Ovis aries: one gene and its partner. The protein of the gene in region 2 interacts with the protein of the main gene of each other region in a pairwise test. Links are inferred from orthologs where the notes say so. Each region holds a gene or a part of one and is shown on either strand. Other genes may lie near its edges.

What was found.
Region 1: the proteins of CCDC136 (region 2) and SHFL interact in binary tests that used the Homo sapiens proteins (3 or more experiments, as listed by UniProt). The two-hybrid records come from large-scale screens. The link is inferred for Ovis aries from reciprocal best matches to the Homo sapiens genes CCDC136 and SHFL.

The regions. Positions count from the first base shown.
Region 1 is NC_056058.1:12,501,847-12,511,077, reverse strand, and holds SHFL (shiftless antiviral inhibitor of ribosomal frameshifting protein), read right to left. Parts: upstream 6,073-9,231; 5' UTR 5,985-6,072; coding exon 5,964-5,984; intron 5,506-5,963; coding exon 5,382-5,505; intron 5,191-5,381; coding exon 5,141-5,190; intron 3,771-5,140; coding exon 3,732-3,770; intron 3,590-3,731; coding exon 3,440-3,589; intron 3,008-3,439; coding exon 2,904-3,007; intron 2,763-2,903; coding exon 2,608-2,762; intron 2,151-2,607; coding exon of another isoform or gene 2,065-2,150; coding exon 1,838-2,064; 3' UTR 1,761-1,837; downstream 1-1,760. Other genes in the region: ANGPTL6 (angiopoietin-related protein 6), read left to right, coding at 318-505, 584-854, 1,353-1,543.
Region 2 is NC_056057.1:94,471,109-94,479,759, reverse strand, and holds part of CCDC136 (coiled-coil domain-containing protein 136), read right to left. Parts: intron 7,660-8,651; coding exon 7,548-7,659; intron 6,958-7,547; coding exon 6,789-6,957; intron 6,540-6,788; coding exon 6,399-6,539; intron 6,063-6,398; coding exon 5,907-6,062; intron 5,626-5,906; coding exon 5,455-5,625; intron 4,979-5,454; coding exon 4,793-4,978; intron 3,266-4,792; coding exon 3,071-3,265; intron 2,627-3,070; coding exon 2,399-2,626; intron 989-2,398; coding exon 479-988; intron 102-478; coding exon 1-101. UniProt on the Homo sapiens protein: May play a role in acrosome formation in spermatogenesis and in fertilization.

The DNA of each region.
Region 1 (9,231 bases), on a different chromosome or scaffold from region 2:
TATTTTGATGAGAGGGCAGCAGATTTAAGAATGCTACTTTGGTGAGAATTTGAGGAAGTTCAGAGAGCCATGTTCAGGACCTCTCTTCTGGTGAAACCATAGGATTTAAGAATCCCAGCCTCCACATTTGCTCTACTGAGAGAAGAGTGACTTAGAGTCTAATTTAGGTAAGAAAAAGGGTTTGGGGGCTTTTATCCTGGAGAGGGAATAAGAGAAGCAGTACTTCTGGTGAGGGGACCAGTGAGAATCAAGACTCTTACTCCAGTAAGGGGTTGACTGGTGTAGCTTGTGCCTCTCCCATATCCCTGTGCCCATAGGCCCATGGCGGGATTGTGCAGAGGCCCGCCAGGCAGGCCATGGACAGAGTGGAGTGTATGAGTTACGAGTGGGCCGGCACGTGGTGTCAGCATGGTGTGAGCAACAGCTGGAGGGCGGAGGCTGGACTGTGATTCAGAGGCGGCAAGATGGCTCGGTCAACTTCTTCACTACCTGGCAGCACTACAAGGTGGGCACAGGTGGGTGGGGCAGGGCTGGGCGGGGAAGGGGCCCAGCGCCTACCTTTCTGACTTTCTTGCCCTGCCAGGTGGGCTTCGGGGAGCCTGATGGGGAATACTGGCTGGGCCTTGAACCTGTGCATCAGCTCACCAGCCGTGGGGACCATGAGCTACTGGTGCTCCTTGAAGACTGGGGAGGCCGTGGGGCACGCGCCCACTATGATGGTTTTTCCCTGGAGCCTGAGAGTGACCACTACCGCCTGCGGCTTGGCCAGTACCATGGTGATGCTGGAGATTCTCTTTCCTGGCATAATGACAAGCCTTTCAGCACCGTGGATAGAGACCGAGACTCCTATTCTGGTAAAGGGCTCTTATTTTGGTGGTGTGTGGGGGCAGGATAGAAGACTCTTAGTGAGGAAATGAAAGAGGGTGGGGTAAGACTTTCCTCTGGTAGGGATCAGGGCAAACAAGAGAATGGAGGACAGGACTTTTATTCTGGTGAGGGAGTCTACGTTCATTCTCTAATGAGTTAATAAGTCAGGGCCTCAGCCTTTGTGAAAGGAGGTGGGGGAAAGGGGGAGCTGTGAGAGCTAGGACTTTTAACTATTGTAGAAAGAAAGTAGAGAAGGTTGTTTTTTCTGGTAAAGGAATGAGAGGAAAAGCTCCTTGTTTGCAGAAAGGACGGAGGAAAATGTGACTTGTACTTTGGTAAGGGGATAAGGAAGAAACTAAGGCTATTACTTTGAAGTAGGGGGACAGAGTATGCCTGGCAAAAGCCTTGTGTTAGTGAGGTGCTGGTAGAGGCTTTTATTCTGGTGAGAAGAATAAAATAAGGCTTTTTTCCCCCTCTCCCCTCAGGTAACTGTGCCCTGTACCAGCGGGGAGGCTGGTGGTACCATGCCTGTGCCCACTCCAACCTCAATGGTGTGTGGCATCGTGGTGGCCACTACCGTAGCCGCTACCAGGATGGGGTCTACTGGGCCGAGTTTCGTGGTGGGGCTTACTCTCTCAAGAAGGCTGCCATGCTGATTAGGCCCCTGAGGCTGTGACCCTCTGTCCATCTGTCCCTCAGGTCCCAGGGGATGTGTGTCAGCAGGAGCCCAAGTTGTCCTGGCCACCCCTCCTTTGTGGCTCCATGCAGACCATGCCCCACAGACCTCCTCCCATTGTGGATCTGCAGGGCTTCCCCAGGGCTTTGTAGACAGTGCCCAGGAATCCCCCTGCCAATATCCTGGACCCAGACGGCTCCCCAAGGGCATTGAGATCTCAGTTTGAGCTCATATTTTATAACAACACAAAATAGCCACAGACCGTGTCTGGTTTTCATCTGCATCTGGCAGGGGTCACTCCCCGTGCCCGCCCTCCTCCTCGTCCTCCTCCTCTTCCTCCTCCTCCTTCAGGTCCTCCAGAATGAGGTTGTCCAGGTCTTCCAGGAGGCCCCCCTGGCTCAGGCAGGTAGCCACAGTGGAGCCACTGCTGATGTGGAGGTTGCTGGGGTGCAGGACTTTGGGCAGGTGGTTCTGCTTTCGGCTCTTGGGGTGCGCACAGGACGTCCCAGGCACATGGGGCTCTGGGGAGGGAGAGGTTCTGAGCCCTCTCCTGGGGCTGGAGGCCACGGGGTGCTTTGGGGGAGGGGAGGGGCTGCGGCCACAGGCTCTAGGGCAGAAGTGGAAGTCACAGACGTTGAAGCCACAGGAGACCCACGGTCATGGGCATCACCTGAGACTACAGAGGACCACACAGGAGCCAAGAACACAGAGAGACTGCAGGGGCTGAGTCCACAGGACCCTGGGATGTGGGTTGTCAGGGTGAAACCACAAAGCCTCATGGGTGAGAACATGGAGGGTGGCTGATGCCACGGGAGGTGAGTGTGAGGAGGGACCCCCCCTCCAGGAGAGACCTGGAGGCAAGGAGGTGGAGGACGGTGGAAGATGTGGAAGGAGGGGCCGATGTGGTAAGAGATGAAATGGCCTCTAGAACTAGGACCTAAGGAGTTAGGTGCAAGAAGCAAGCAGACACCTTGGTAGGTAAAGCCCCAGAGGTGGAAATCCCAGGAGTCCAGGCCACATAGACTGGAACAGGGGGAGGCCATGCGGACGCAGCAGGCGCTCACCTCTCCGATTGTAGCAGTCCTCAGCGGAGCAGGAGTGGGTGTGGGTACTGCGGCGATCCGGGTCGCGATCCCAGCGCGGAGGGAGGATCCGTGTCGGATACACAGGGAAGCCGCACCCGTAGCAGGGGGACCGGGACCCCATCTGTGCCCAGCCCCTGGGGGCGGGCAGGGCCGTGAGGGTCCAAAGGCCAGCTGGGCCAGGATGGGGCCAGGGCAGGGAGGGGCGGGGCGGGGCTGGGGCGGGGCCGAGGGTGAGGGGGTGGGGTCAGCACCCTCTCGGGAAGTTGTGCCCTCACCGGAAGTTGTGTCGACATTTCGGGCAGTGGAATTCAGCCACGCCCCACATCTTGTCACTGGGCACGGGATCATAGCGCTTCCGGCATTTCCTGCATCTGGACACCTGGGGGTACAGAAGAGCGGAGCAGATGGGCACCGATAGCCTGATGGTGGTCACGTTGGGATTTACACCATCGAAATTGGCGAACACTGTAAATCTGGGGGCACTTCGTTCCTGGTTGGTAGGCGTTTATCAGAAGCACACCACTGGTCAGGGGGTTCAGAAGCCAGATTTGGGGTTCAGGCTTGATTTCTGTGGTAGTGGTCAAACGCCATAGTCAAGAGTTCAAGGGTAAGTTGAGCTTCTCCAGTTGAATGTTGAAAGTCCAGCTCAGTAGGTCAGCGTTGGGGCTGAGATTGGGGTTGATCTCTGAGGCTGCAGGTGTCCGGGGTTGGGGTCTCAGAGGCTGATGTTCTTAGGTCAGTTGGTTTGGACACAGAATGGGGGTTGGGAGCAGAGCCGGGACAGAACCAAGGTCAGGGATTGGGTTATCACCTCTTTCCGCTGGGGCACGCGGCGCCACCAGACATGGTCACAGGAGGAGCAGGCGAACTGCCGGTCCACGGCAGGGATGAGGTCTTCCTGGGCACGCTGGAACATGCGTAGATTGTCTTCTGTCAGTGGCAGGAGGGATGTCGCCACCGCCTGCAGAATGGGGTGGGCGGGGCCAAGAGGGCGGTCAGTCCTCTTCTCTTCCAAACCCCTATCCTGTCCCTCCTTCTCACGTATGGATACCCCCAGGGGTGTGCACACCGCTCCACCTCCCCATCCCACACCCTGGACTCACCTGGATGTCCTGGTCCTGCTTCATGTCCTCTGGGGGGTCCTGGGTGGAAACATCAGGGGTAGAAACTGGGGAGGTGGCTCATGCCTCTTTTCTGGGGGCAGGGCTTCTGGATGGGGAGGCAGGGTTCTGGCCCCATATGAGTAAGGTGTCCCCAACTCAAGAGGAGTTAATTGAGCAGTTTCCACTTCCTGAGGGCAAGGGTGTGTGACCTCAGTTGTCCTCATAGCAACCCTGAGAGGTGGGCACACCTGTGATCCTCATTGCTCAGATGGGGAAACTGAGGCCCAGAGCTCTGAGAGGGCTTGCCTGAGATTACCCTGAGTGAGTGTGGGCAACAGGCCTGGGCCCCATGCTCCCTTCATGCTGGCAAATGCCACACACTTGCTGGCATTGTGACAGGTCACCTGTTTGAGGCTATGCTGCTTTAGGCTAAGTGCTTGAGCTCTGGATTCAGAGAGCCACAGGTTGGAATCCTGGCCTCATCACTTCCAGCTGTGGGGTCGTGGCCAAGCCACTCTCCCTAATGAAGGACATCTAGGAGTCCAGGTTCTGACTCTAGGTGACCTGGGTTCAAATCCCAGTCACCACCTGCATTCAGCATGAGCCTGGTGAGTGACTTCATCACCCTGTGTCTCAGTTTCCTCATCTGTCAAGTGGATATGATAAATAATAGGACTTGTCTCACAGGACCTGTGGCAATAAGTCAACAGAATTCCTGGAGTCCTGTTGCAGGGAAAGTGCTCAATCAATGATACTCTTTGCTAGTTTTATTATACTCATTATATGTATAACTGTAAATATATAAATGTTACAAGTATAAAACATACTTTATTATACTCTTTAACAGCTCTGTGCTGGGCCCTTTCAGACAGGCAAACCAGTGCACCAGCTACCAAGGCCATCTAAGGGGCAAAGTGGCCATACAAAGGCTCTCATTCATTCATTGCTTTAGTCATTCATTTACATGGGCTTCCCTGCCCCTCTTTCCTCCCCTATCTCTTACTCGTCCCAACCTGTCTGCAAGTTCCTCTGCTCAGGTCACCCTCTCTTCCAGGAAGATCTCCAACCCCTCCCCTTCCCAGGGATCACTCCTCCCTAGGCTTGAAGAATGTGGTACCACCTCCTCCAGGAAGCCTTCCCTGACCTCTTTGGCTCCTCTGTAATGATGATAATCCGGATTCTTTTCACTGCCTAGTTTCTTGTCTCTCTCCATTTCATACAATCAGCATGTAATGAGCACCTATGGTTTGCAGGCTCCTTGGTCAGATCCATAACTGAGAGGTAAGTGAATGAGGCTAGACCATGAGTTGTGGATGGACAGTGCACAGAAAGAGCTCTGCCAGGGATGAGCCTGACCCTTCCCTTCTTCCTTCCCTTACCACGTGTTTTGAGGGGAGGGGGCAGTTTACCTGGGTGTCCAGATCATTACTCAGTTCCTGTCCATCCTTCTGCTTTACCCCTGGTGGGGAGAGTAAGTGTAAGTGAAGGCCCCTTGAAAGGTTTTGTGGGAATTTCAGGGCCCCCAGAACCCCGATCCAGACCGCCCCCCAAAGAGATGATCTCATCGCCTCTTCCAGCCCCCAGCACAGACCACACCCCCTCCCTGCTCCCCAGCTTAACTCTCACCAGGCAGGACCCCCACCTGCTCACCATACACGATGGAGCGCCCCACTCCAGTGTGGTCGCTGCCAAATTTCCTCATCAGAGTCCCTGCCTTCTTGGAGGATACCTTTCCATGAAACTTCTCCCGGAGGCGCCGGACGCTTTTCTCCAGCTGGGGTAGGGGACCGGTGGGGGAAGGAAAAGCGCAATTGCCCTTCCTCCATCCCTAGGCTTCCTTTTTTCACGGCCCGAACTTGACCCCGGGTTTTGGCCTTCGCACCCCCCCCCCCCATCCCTCTACTGCATTTCCTGGAAAAAGCCAAAGTCCCCACAGAGTACTGGGGGAGGGAGCGGACTAGGGCGAGCGTCCCAGGCTAAGGGATGAGGCCGGCCAGATGACCCCTGGCCTCTGACCCTTGACCCAGCAGCCCCCGCTTTCCCTCGAGGAGGCCGCATTTTGCTCCGGGGCATGTGGCGGTCACTCTCCTTTCCGAGGGAGACGAGTGCCAGCCTTGGGGGGAAGGTCTGGGCTTGGATGGAGTCCCCAGCAACTGCGAAGCCCGCTCCGTGCCCCTAGCTCCTCCTCAGCATCTCTCGCGGGCCACCGGCCCAGTTGTAGCCATCTCCTACCTCCACACCTTCTTGAGACATGGTGGCGGCGTAGGTCCCCGCGAGGGTCCGCACTGCGCGCTCGGCGGCCCCCTACCTGGGCGCGCCCGTCGGTCCGGCCGCGCAGGGCAGGGGGCGGGGCCTCCAGGCCGGCTCCGCCCTTCCTTTCCTGCGCTCCGTTTCGCTTTCGTTTGGGAACGGGGGGGTGGACGGGGAGGGCTGGCTCCGCCCTGGCTCCGCCTCTGCTCTTGCGCCCCAAACCCAGGCGGGCGCCCCGGATCTGCACCCTGCGGCGGAGCGCGCAGAACTCGGGCGGGGGAAGCGGCGCGGCCTCTGCAGTCGGTCACATGTCCCCACGCTGCGCGGGGTCCGCGTCTTCACGTCCCTCGTGGGGGCGGGGCCGCATCTGAAGGCCGCGGCGAGTCTCCGTGCCCCCGCCTGTTCGCGCTCCCCTGTTCATCGCTCGGTCCCCTCCCTCCACCCGGAATCAGGCGCTAATGAGGATCTAGACCCCTGTCTCGCTCTGAGTGTCTTATCCGGCTATGTCTTCTCTCTGAACCTCAGTTTACTTCGCTGTAAAGTGGGGATGATGATAGTGGCTACATCCTGGGGACGGGTGTGTGTGCTCGCGCGCGCTCATGCCTGTGCGCGCGCGCGCGCAGGTGCAGGATTCGAGATCCCCAGGTCGAGTATTTAGTAGCGCCTGCCATGCTGTAGACATTCAACTAGTCACTGGGCCACCTACTATGTGCAAGATATTAAGAAGCAGGCAGTTGTGGTGGGGAGAAGATGCTCGTTAAAAATACGGATTCCTGGTTCCTCACAGTCTTGCAGAATCGGTCTGTCTAGGGGTTCCAGGGAATTTGCGCTGAAAAACGGAAGATTGAGAACCCCGAGGGATCAGGACGATTTTAACCCAGCATGGGGGGTGGGGGGTGGGCGAGGGGGCTGGAAGAGCCCTGCCTGGCGGCATCAGAAATGGTTTCTTTAAAAAAAGAAAAAAATGGCTTCTTGGAGGAGTCCGGAAGACCGAGGTCTCAGCAGTCAGAAGATCGGAGTGCGGGATGGAACAGCTTTGGGTGCAAAGACCCCAGAAAAAAGTGACTAGCGCTTTAAGCCAGGGCTTCTCAACCTCAACGCTATTGGCATTTAGGGCTGGGTGATTCTGGAGGCCTGCCCTGTGCATTGTAGGATATTTAGCAGCATCCCTGGCTTCAATCCGCTAGATGCCTGTGGCACTCTTGCCCCAGTCGTGGTAACTGAAAATGTCTCCAGACGTTGCCAAATGTTCCCTGGGGGTGGCAAAATTGTGTTAGGATAAATGACACCCCTCAAATTGTTTAACCTCCATCAGTAAAGATGTGGAAGCTCAATTCCTCGAAGAGTGTTTGTTTATGAATTATATACAAATACAGTATGAATTATATACAAATACTCAGATTCTGTGGTGGTGGTTTAGTCGCTAATTCGTGTCCGACTCTTGCGACCCCATGGACTGCCAGGCTCCTCTGTCCATGAGATTTTCCAGGCAAGAATACTGGAGTGGGTTGCCATTTCCTTCTCCATGGGATCTTCCCGACCCAGAAATCGAACCCAGGTCTCCTGCACTGCGGGCAGATTCTTTCCCAACTGAGCTACTAGAGAAAGATCAGATTCTGTAGATCATTTTATAATAATGTATTTGTTACATAATGATATTCGTTGGGCTTCCCAGGTGGCGCTAGTAGTAAAGAATTTGCCTGCCAATGCAGGAGACTCCAGAGACGGGGGTTCAATTCCTGGGTGGGGAAGATCCCCAATGATTAAAAATATAAATGTTCTAATGTTTTCTACTCGAACTCCAAAGTTTTGTTTGTGGAGTCTAGGCATTCCTCCCTGGAGCCTACTCTATTAACGAGTGTAAACAGTTCATGGTTCTTTGTGGCTGAGTGGTGGGGTTTCAGGCAGGAATGAGGGGCTGTAGGCGTCACAGAGCAGTGGTCCCTAACCTCTGGGATCTGATGCCTGATGATTTGAGGTGGAGCTGATGCAATAATAATCGAAATAGATCGCACACTAAATGTAATGCACTCGAATCATCCCGAAACCATCCCCCCACCCCCCACGCCGTCTGTGGAAAAACTGTCTTCCAGGAAAATGGTTTCTGGTGCAGAAAAGGTTGAAGACTGCTGAGAGGACCTAGGATTTTATCCCAGAGAAGCGGGGAGGCATGGAGGGGCTCTCTCCTTATAGTTCCCAACTACTACTTACCCAGTGGAGGGGGAGGTCACAGCTATGTCCCATCCCTGGTCACGGTGAGCACAGAACAGGCAGGGAACAGGTGGGAATCTGATCAAGCCCCAACACAATTCATGTCTGTTAGCTTCTCATCCTAATGATCACCATAGTGAGAGCTTGCTCTGTGCCAGGCACTGTTCCATGCACCATGGACACAGCATCACAGAAAACAAAGATCCCTGCCCTACAGAGCTAGCATTCTAGTGGGGGAGATAGAAGAAACAAATATGTGATGGGTAGGCAGTTTCCCTGGTGGCTCAGACAGTAAAGAATCTGCCCGCAATGCGGGAGACCTGGGTTCGATCCCTGGGTTCGATCCCTGGGTCAGGAAGATCCCCTGGAGAAGGGAATGGCTACCACTCCAGTATTCTGGCCTGGAGAATCCCATGGACAGAGGAGCCTGGTGGGCTACACTCCGTGGAGTTGTAGTCAGACACAACTGAGTGACTAACACTCTTACAACTTTCAGGAGATAATATGTGCCAGGATGAAAAATAAACTACGACAGGGGGATGGGTAAAGAGGGTTTAGGGAAGGCTGTGAGAAGTAACATCTGAGTGGAAACCTGAAGGATGCAGAGGAAGAGGGTTCCAGGAAGAATGGTAACTGGGGACTCTTCTTACCAGGTGTTGTAGTTCTCTGTTGCTGTGTAACAAATTATCTCCCCAAATGTAATGGCTTAAGGGCTTCCCAGGTGGCGCTAGTGGTAAAGAACCTGCCTGCCAGTGCAGGAGATGTGGGTTCGATCCCTGGGTTACGAAGATCCCCTGGAAGAGGGCATGGCAACCCACTCCAGTATTCCTGCCTGGAGAATCCTCATGGACTGACATGGGGTGATGTGGGGTGACATGGGCTGACATGGGGTGACAGAGATGGACATGACTGAAGTGACAGTACGCACACACGTAGCGACTTAAAACAAGAAACACTTATTAGCTCACACAATTTTTGTGGGTCAGGAACCCAAGGACGGCTTTAGTAGGCTTTCTGGCTCAGGGTCTCCATAAGATTG
Region 2 (8,651 bases):
ATCCGCTGCTGCAGCAGCTTGTGCTCTTCCTGGCTGAGCTGGTACATGGCCTGCACACCCTGCAGCTTGATCAGCACCTTGGCGACCACGTCCTCAAGGTGCTGTGGAGGGCGAGGAGTGAGGAGGGCACCCTGAGGAGCCCCTGCCCTCCACCCGCTCTCTTCGCTGGGCCCTTTTTTCTCATGGGTACAAAACACTGGCCGATAGGATCTGAAGCTGCCCAGGGGGAGAACACTGGATTTCTTCCCATGAAGAGCACATGACTGTGTTGATGAAAAGTCCAGAATCTTAGACTTCCGTCCAGATGGAACTGCATCTCCATAGGAAGTGGGGAGAGCACCTCATTCATTTCCTGACGGTCACCCAGCTCAGCTCTGAGCCCGCTGCCCACTTCACCTCTCGGGCCCTTCCCCGTGGCCTCTCCTAATGAGACAAGAACCATTGTCCCCTGTCTGACCGGACACCTGACTGCCTTTACCTCCACATCTCCAGGCTCGGCCAGCTCGTCGTCCATGCTGCTGCTGACGTAACTCTTGTGACAGGTGACGGAGCTGCTGCTGCTGCTGCCATAGCTCCTCTTATAGGTGTCGGAGCTGCTGCTGCTGCTGCTGAGGTAGCTCCGCTGACAGGACTCGCTGGCATCTGTGCTGCTTTCGTAGCTCTTGAGGAGGCTCTCTTCACTGGCCTGGCTGCTGCCGTAGCTCTTCTGGTAGCCCTCATCGTCATTGAGGTTGCAGCTCTTGTGGCAGTTCTCGTTGCTGGTGGTCGTGCTCGCGTAACTCTTCCTGTAGGAGTCCAGGCTCATCTTGATTGCAGGGGACTGGTCTTGGAGCAGCTGCATTTCTTCCAGACAGAGCTGCAGGTCGGCCTGCAGCCTCTTCCGCTCCTCCAGAAGCCGCTCCTGCTCCTGCTGGAGCAGCTCCTGCTCGGTCTCACTGGCCTCGTACAGCTCCTGCAGGGCCTGCATCTGGGCGATGATCATCTTGGACTGGCGGGAGTGGGTGGGGAGACACCAGCGTTACTTCAGACGCTGCGATCCTTCCAGCGGAACCCCTCCTGGTGAGGATGTCTGAGATCCCAGGTCAAGGAATGGCACACCTGGCCCTCCCAGCTCACCGTGGCCCAGGACTTCCACTTAGCCTGCAGGTACCTGGCATGATTCAATTTCTTACTCACTGGAGAAAATTTCCTAGGGCAGACACTCTGCAATTTCTGGGCTCTCACTTCCCCTGGCTTCTATGCTCTGGTAACCTCCTCTCTCCCTGGAGTAGCACTGAGTGGGTCTCAAGGTCACTCAGCCTCCCTTCTCTCTTCTTAGTCAGGTGGACCTATTATCCTGATCTATGGGGCTCAGTCCCCTCCTCCACCCCCAATTCTAAAATCACCCCTGGCCACGAACATGAGCGTACAAAGAACTCCTCCCTTGGAAGATGCAGACTTCCAATCAGGGTCTCACTATGAGTCCCTCTCCTGCCTCAATTCCAAATCTGGCTTCTGGCATGCTTCCTGGGCCCTCTGGGCCTGGCTCCTTGGCAGCTGATGCCCAGGATGAGATCTGATCTGTTAAGGAAATATTTGCTATTTCCTGGTCTGGTTCCTGGTCTCTGTTATCCAGGCTGAAATCGGATGCCCCTGGAACCTGATCAACCAAATTGCACAGTTTGGACTTCTGCTGCTCCATGCACCTCTGCCTGTCTAGGCTAATATCTGGACAAATCAATCTCACTTAAATGGAAACTGTCTTCCTGCTCTTCCTTGCCTACACTGAGGCCTCAGACCAAATGCATCTCCCAATCCTGAACACACTTGTTTAGAAATTTCCACCAGTATGACCTCAGAGGCCTGACCACTCACTGGTGCTTGAGACACATGGATTCTCTAGTCTAATGCCTCTGACCTGGCTGTTACTGCTGCAAAGTTCCAATCCAATGAAGACAGTGAGGTCAGTACCAAGAACCCCATATGCTGGGAATTTCTGTCTTGGAAACAAATGGCCCCAGATATGCCTCATGTAGAACACCAAAAGGTTACAGATTTGGATCACTGGAAAGCGAACATCTCAATTATCAACCAGCTCATGAGGAAAAGACATGTTTAGAGTCAGTCCTAAAGAACCCAAACACTAGGTTGATCTACCTCCAACTACATCTGGAAAATGAGGTATTAAAGAGACTGAGTTCAAAGGATCAGGAGATCACAGACTTCCTGGTCATCACAGTGCTTCAGCTGGGCATCCATCCAGAGGAGCAGCTCAGGCCAGCCCTAACTAAGGAGCCCATGAGTGGGCTTTAGCTTCCTCTCTGCTCCTGGCCTTCGGAACTCAGACCCTGCTATGGAGCCCCTTTCCCTAGCATGCTGCTACCCCCAGAACTGTCTCCCTACCTCTTGCTATGGTTACCTTGTTGTGACCACACTTTGAGGACTTAGGCCATTTGGGATCCTCGGGATTCTCCAACACTTCCCGGAAGCTGGACTCCTTGAAATGGTGCAGGGCTCCTTGCAGTTCTAACTGTTCTTTTACTATGTTCTCTTGGTTCTGTATCAGTTTCTTCTGCTCCTCCTGCATGCCTTGGTAGAGCATCTGCACTTCACACAGGTCCTGTAACTTTGTGAGGAGCTCCTGACTCTGTGAGGTGGAGCGGAAGGAAGTGGGCGGCACTGTGATGGTTACACGGAAAGACCTCTGCCTCCTTCCCTCTGGGGACCCTTCCCTCAAAGGAGTTGGCTTTGCTCAGCCCACCTGGGACAGGAGGGGAGTCTTTCTACACAGACCTGCTAGTGGAGGAGTAAAGACCTCCTGTGGGTGGATGTCTTTTGCTTTTTATAAAGTGATTTCAAGGACATTTTCTCCAGATGGACTAAATGTCTAAAACGTTGGACAGATTCCAGAGTTGAGGATGTATTTCAAGATTTAAAGCCCTAATCGGCTATTGTGAGCAGTTTTGTGAGAGGAGACTGGCGAGAAAGTGAGGAGTTAAGACAAAGTTCCATTTGCTCCCTTTCACTTCTCCTCAGGTCGCTCACATCCGGGAAGGGCCTCACAGCTGACGGCCGCCCTGGCCGCCATTACCTTGTGGAAGAGACCAGACTTGGGGAGCGGGAACGTGAGCCTGTGCAGCTCTTCTTGTAGCTGGCCCTGCTCCTCCTGCATCCTCCTCTGTTCCTCCAGGAGCTCGCACTGCTCCATCTGCATCTGCGCCATCTCCTTCTGGCTGGCCTTGTAACTCTCCTGCAATTCTGTCAGTCTGAAGAGCAGCGCGTCACACTGTGGACGGGGCAGGGCACACAGGGCGGTCAGCGGACCACGCCTGTGTTCTGTCCTGTGATTCACCAGAGTCTCCTGCCCTGTGGTCACCTTAGACTAATCACCCCAAGCTCCACTGTGCCCTCTAGAGGCCTAGATGCTGAACGGGAACCCCAGCAGGCCGCTCAGGGCTGAAGTTTGGCCATGCTGGATATTTTGCCTACTAGTCCTCTCTGAGGGTGGTTTTCAAGAGAGTGTTGGCAATGCCCCTCCCTTCTTACCTCCCTCCTGCTTCTTTCCTCTGGTGAAGACCATTTTCCCACCGTGCTGGGAATTCTAGTTCTCCAGTTGTTTCTATAACTGATTATGTTCCTTACCAATAACGATGTATTTTCACCCTAATTTTCCCCCATTTTTGTGTTCATCATCAGCTTCAAGAATCTTTAGAGAAGTATGAACTATTGCTGAGCTGGGGTTGAGAAGACTAAAGTATCCTATGATTCCAAAAACCCAATCTTCTAATATTAGACTAGTCTCAATGCTCTTTTAGGACTAGAGAAAAGACCGGCTCTGTGTGCCAGCATCCTTCTCCCTTCCTATGGTCCCCTCCCCTAGTAGAGGAAGTGATGAGCAGGATATGGACCCCTTGGACCTCTCAATGCAGTCGGTGTGGCGGGAGGAGAGAAAGTGAGCCTGGGTGTAGAAAGGCAGGTGGACTACTAGGGCAGCCCAAAAACCATCTCCAGCGCTGTGTCTTCGGAAGGCCTTCCCCTGGAGACACAGCATGCTGCAGCAGGAGCGAATGAGTATTCAAGCAGTATTTTGCATCATGTGTTGGCATTTTTCCATTTCCTGTCAGTGATCAGGAGCTGAAAGTACTCAATAAAGCTAACCAATAATGACTTGCCTTTTACACACTATGGAGAAAAGGGAAAGGAAGGAAGGAAGGCCTTATTCATCATCAGGATTTTTCACTAAAACAAAGTGAGGTAAGAAGTATTCTGCTCAATTTAAAAAGGGTAAGATTCGAGTTGAGAATTTAACTACTCTGAAGTCATGGAATAAATCCTGGAAAAGCCTAGGTTCTTCTAATAACCAATCAGCGCTCAGGGCACCAACCATGCCTTCTGACAAGAGCACCTACAATCTGCCTCAGAAAACTGGACCTTCTCTTTCTAGTTCTAACAGTCATAGTTGTGTATATGGGCCTACATGTATGTTCTCCTCCACAAATGACAGGATATCACTATAGTTCTAATAATAAAGTATAAAGTCTACTCTCATGGAGTCATGTGTAAAATCTTCAGGTGTTCAGACTGGACCCAGATGTATTGATTCTACTAATCTGTAGCTCAGGCTTAAAGTGAAGGTCAAGTCAAAGTCTTAATGTTAACAGCATGGGTTCTGCCTCTGTTCCCTGCCTTTCCACACTCAGCTGTGACGGGACAGGAGGTCCATCAAGCCTCTCGTTTGCATGACTTCATCTCTTGCCCCTCTACTTCCTCTCTCCAAGGCTCAGGAGACCTCACCTGTCTTAGTTACAATTACCTTATTAGCACACTTCCCCTTGTCCTCTAGGATGGACTGGGTGCTCCTGAGCTGCTGCAGCTCCTGCTGGCAGAGTAGGAAGTCCTGCTCCAGCTGGTCATACATGTGCTTCTGCCGGTCCAGCGTTTCCTGGCTGCACTGGTACAGCCGCTTCGTCTCCTGCAGCTGGGCGTGGACCTCTGCACTCTGGGGTGGGGAGGCACACCCCGCCATTATCCCCAGAGCCACATGGCCACACTCTCTCCTCTCAGGCAGGGGCTAAGGGGTCTTACCCTGTCCTTTCCAGGTCTGGGGTGGGACTCCCTGAGATGGACCAATCCCTAACAGGCTCTCCACAGACACTGGGGGCTTCCTCTCTGGGGAGGCAGGGAAGGGAAAGGGCCTCCTTTCTACAGTCCTTTCGGACTTGACATCACAGGAAGCCGAGCATGTTGTGACCCTCTGAGGTCACCTTTCCACTGAGCACAGTCATAGTTGCGCATATGGACCTACATATATGTTCTTCATGAATGACAGGATGTGATTATGGTTCTAATAGTAGGGTAGAAAGTCTCCTCACCAACAGCTCCTCCACAGAACTACCATTCCTTTCTCCTGCGGACCCAGCCTCTCACGGGAGGGTCTGCCGGGCTACCTTCTCCCTCGCCTGAAGCCTGTTTTACCTTCTCGCTGCTCTCCTGGTAGGTGGTCACAACACCCCTGAGGTGCTGCACCTCAGCCTCGTGGCAGCGCAGAGTGTCCCGCAGGTGCTGCTGCACGTCCAGCAGCTTGTTCTTCTCACATGAGATGCTGTGGCACTGCAGCTGCAGCTTCTGTAGCTGGCACTGTAGCTCCTGCAGTGGAGGGGGCCTGGGGCAGTGCCTCTGCAGTCCTCCACCCACTCACTCTTCTGCTGGAGTCGCCCTCAGACATAGACAGTCTGAGAATCCACTGGTCCCTGCCCTGCGCTTACAGGCTGCCCTCTGGTCCAATGGGGGACTTGAGGGCAGCTGGAGTCCTGGACCTGCGGTGCCATATAGGTAGCAGCTGGAGCTATTTCAATGCTCTACTTTTCTCCCCACCCTGCCCAAACCTCCTGGCACCTAAGCAGCCCCTCATCTTGGGTTGCTGTTACCTTCTCACTCTGGCTTTCTACTGTGCTTTTCATGACTTTGAGCTGCCGGAGCTCAGCCTGAAGTTGTAGCTGCACCTTCAAGAGCTCACTCTGCTCATCCTGGCTAGCATCGTACTTTTGCTGCAGGGCACAGAGTCTGGTCTTCAGCTCCTCGTTCTGTGGTGGGGAGGATGTGGGAAGAGTGGTTACTCTCAGAAATCAGCAGACCCCTCTCCACACCAGAGTGGTTCTTTTTGCCGAGCGGACATTTTGAGGAGCTCCCCTGGGCATTAGGGTTTAGTTTCTTCTCTGCAGCGGACGCTCCATCATGACTACCATTCTAGAATGCAATGCTGTGTGACTTCTCCACTTGCTCTCCAGTTGACCATATCCCTGGCTGCAGGCCAAGAATCAGTAGAGCGCAGCCCGCCTCTGCCTTCATCCTCCCTGGAAGTGGCAACTCCAATCAGGCCCTTCTGCCCTCCCCTGGTGCCCGGCCCTATCCGTGTTTACCTGGGTGACGCTGTGGGACGTCTGAAACCGAAGCACCTCATTCTGTGCACACTTTAGCTCCCTCTGCAGCCGCTTCTGCTCCTCCTCACTGGTCCGGCGATGGTGATGTAGCTCTTGCAACTCACAAGTCAATTTCTTACACTGTGTGGGAAATGGAACAGGAAGCCTGAATTACTACAGGGACCATATGCACTCCAGGAATGGACCTAGGCAGAGTATGGCAGTCCTTTTACTGGAACATTCCATGAAAGGCACACAAGTGAGACCCCAGAGTCTGATCTCTTGCCATAGCACCTGTCTCCCTGGTTAGCCTTGTGTCTAAGGAGATGCTGCTGACACAGGCCAGGAGAAGGTAAGAGAGAGGCAGTGAAGGAGCTGGCCTTTCCCTACCTTGCTCTGCATGTCATGCATCTGCTCCTTGGCTCCCAGTAGCTGCTGCCGCAACAAATGCATTCCAGGATCGGGCTCCAGGAAATCCTCTTCTGAGGTCTGAGACTCTGCTGACCTCATAGTCCGTAGCGTTTGGGACTCCAGCCATCTTTCTGTTGCTCTTCGTGTCCTGTAATTCAGAACCCCAGAGCCACGTTTGGGAGAATGCTCTGCCCAGCACCACCTGCGAAGTATGCCTGGTCCTGATGCCTTCATTTTAGGCAAAAGACAGTTAAGGAGACTTCTCTTGTGATTTACCTCTCAAATACACTTGAAGGATGACAGAAAAAGTCCCCAGCATCTCAACCTGCAAAGGCATGTCTGGTTCTGGGAGACCCTAAGGGTACTAGTCCAGTCAGGCTCCAGGCTGGGACTGGAGTCAAACCAGCTCCAGTTTGGAGGCAATGCGTCCTTTGACTGGATCAAGTCTGGGAGGACAACAAAGGAATTGCTTCTCCTCTGCTCCAGAGCAGAGCCAACCAGACCTAACTGCCTGGAGTGGAAGAAAATGAAATTTCAGAACTTGCCCAGCTCTAGTCCTGAGACATCTGGTTGGATCCCCATACCTGCTTCTCAGCAGTATTCAAACCCTTCAGATACCATGGGAAGGACCAGCTCTCCCACAGTGGAGGAAGGCAGGGGAGCCTGACATCTGCCTTCTCCGGTCCTACTCAGGGAATAGCCCTGTCCTAAAGAGCCCTGTGAGCCTGTGGGCTGTACCTCTCACTCTCCAGATCTGCAAGCTGCCCTGTGAGGCTGCTGTTGCTCTCCTGCAGGGCCCGGTACTCCTCGTTCAGGAAGTGGTAGCGTTCCCGCAGTTGCTGCAACTCTTCTGCAGAGGACAGGCAGAGAGGTGAGACCCCCAGGGAGGAAGCACAGATGACCAGCCCCCAGTTTTCCAGCCTAGAAATCTGGCTGTGGAAAACTGAAGTTTCTTTTTCTAGAGACAGATGAGATACCCCATGCAGAGGTTTAGAAGATGGGGCCCGGAAAGTTTCAAGTTGCAATGGGTCTTTGTCCTCTCAGTGTGCTGCCCATCTTTTCAAATTCCCAGAAGACTGGCCCTGGGTGTCCATCTTCAAAACTTCAACCAAGAGGGCTGGGGTTGGGGGGTGGAGGTGGCAGGGGAAATAAGCAAAACCAACCAAGACAGTGTCTTCAGATTTTCAGCTTTTGAGGGTTTAATTAATTGTGAGGGTTTTTGGTTTATTGTATTTAAAGCTCCCATTCAACTGTTTATGGTTAGGGTCCTTACACTTTTAGTACAAAAAGCTGAGAGTGTGAACTGCCAGTCCTCGGCTTTCAGAGACAACCCAGGCATCCTTGCATTTCTTGTTGTCCTTTTACTTCCTTTATCATCGTACCCAATCCATCGGCCTGCACATGGTCAAGAATTCTTTCTAATGATCTTTTTTATCTGCTGACGAAAAAGCCCACCACAACCGAACCCACAAATCATACATCCACAAGCGTCAGCAGAGATCTGGTTAAAATGCCCCAGCACAAATCCTAAGTTCCATATACCAATACTCTTTCATGATGTGAAAATAGAAACACACATATCTGCTTTTTCATGATTAAGAATTAATTCTCTCAGAATACTAATTCTGCTGATGTTTAAAGAACACTAACTTGCTCCAATTAGAGCCCAAGGCCTATCTTTCCCGCTGTAAGAGTCAACACCCCGACATTCACTTTTAGTATTCCTTCTTTAGTCCAATCAAAAGTCTTCAGCATACTCCAGTTTACCGTAGAAGGAAGGAAGGAAACTCATCTTTAATAAAAGCTAACCATGTGCTAAGCATTAGACCGGATGATTCCCGC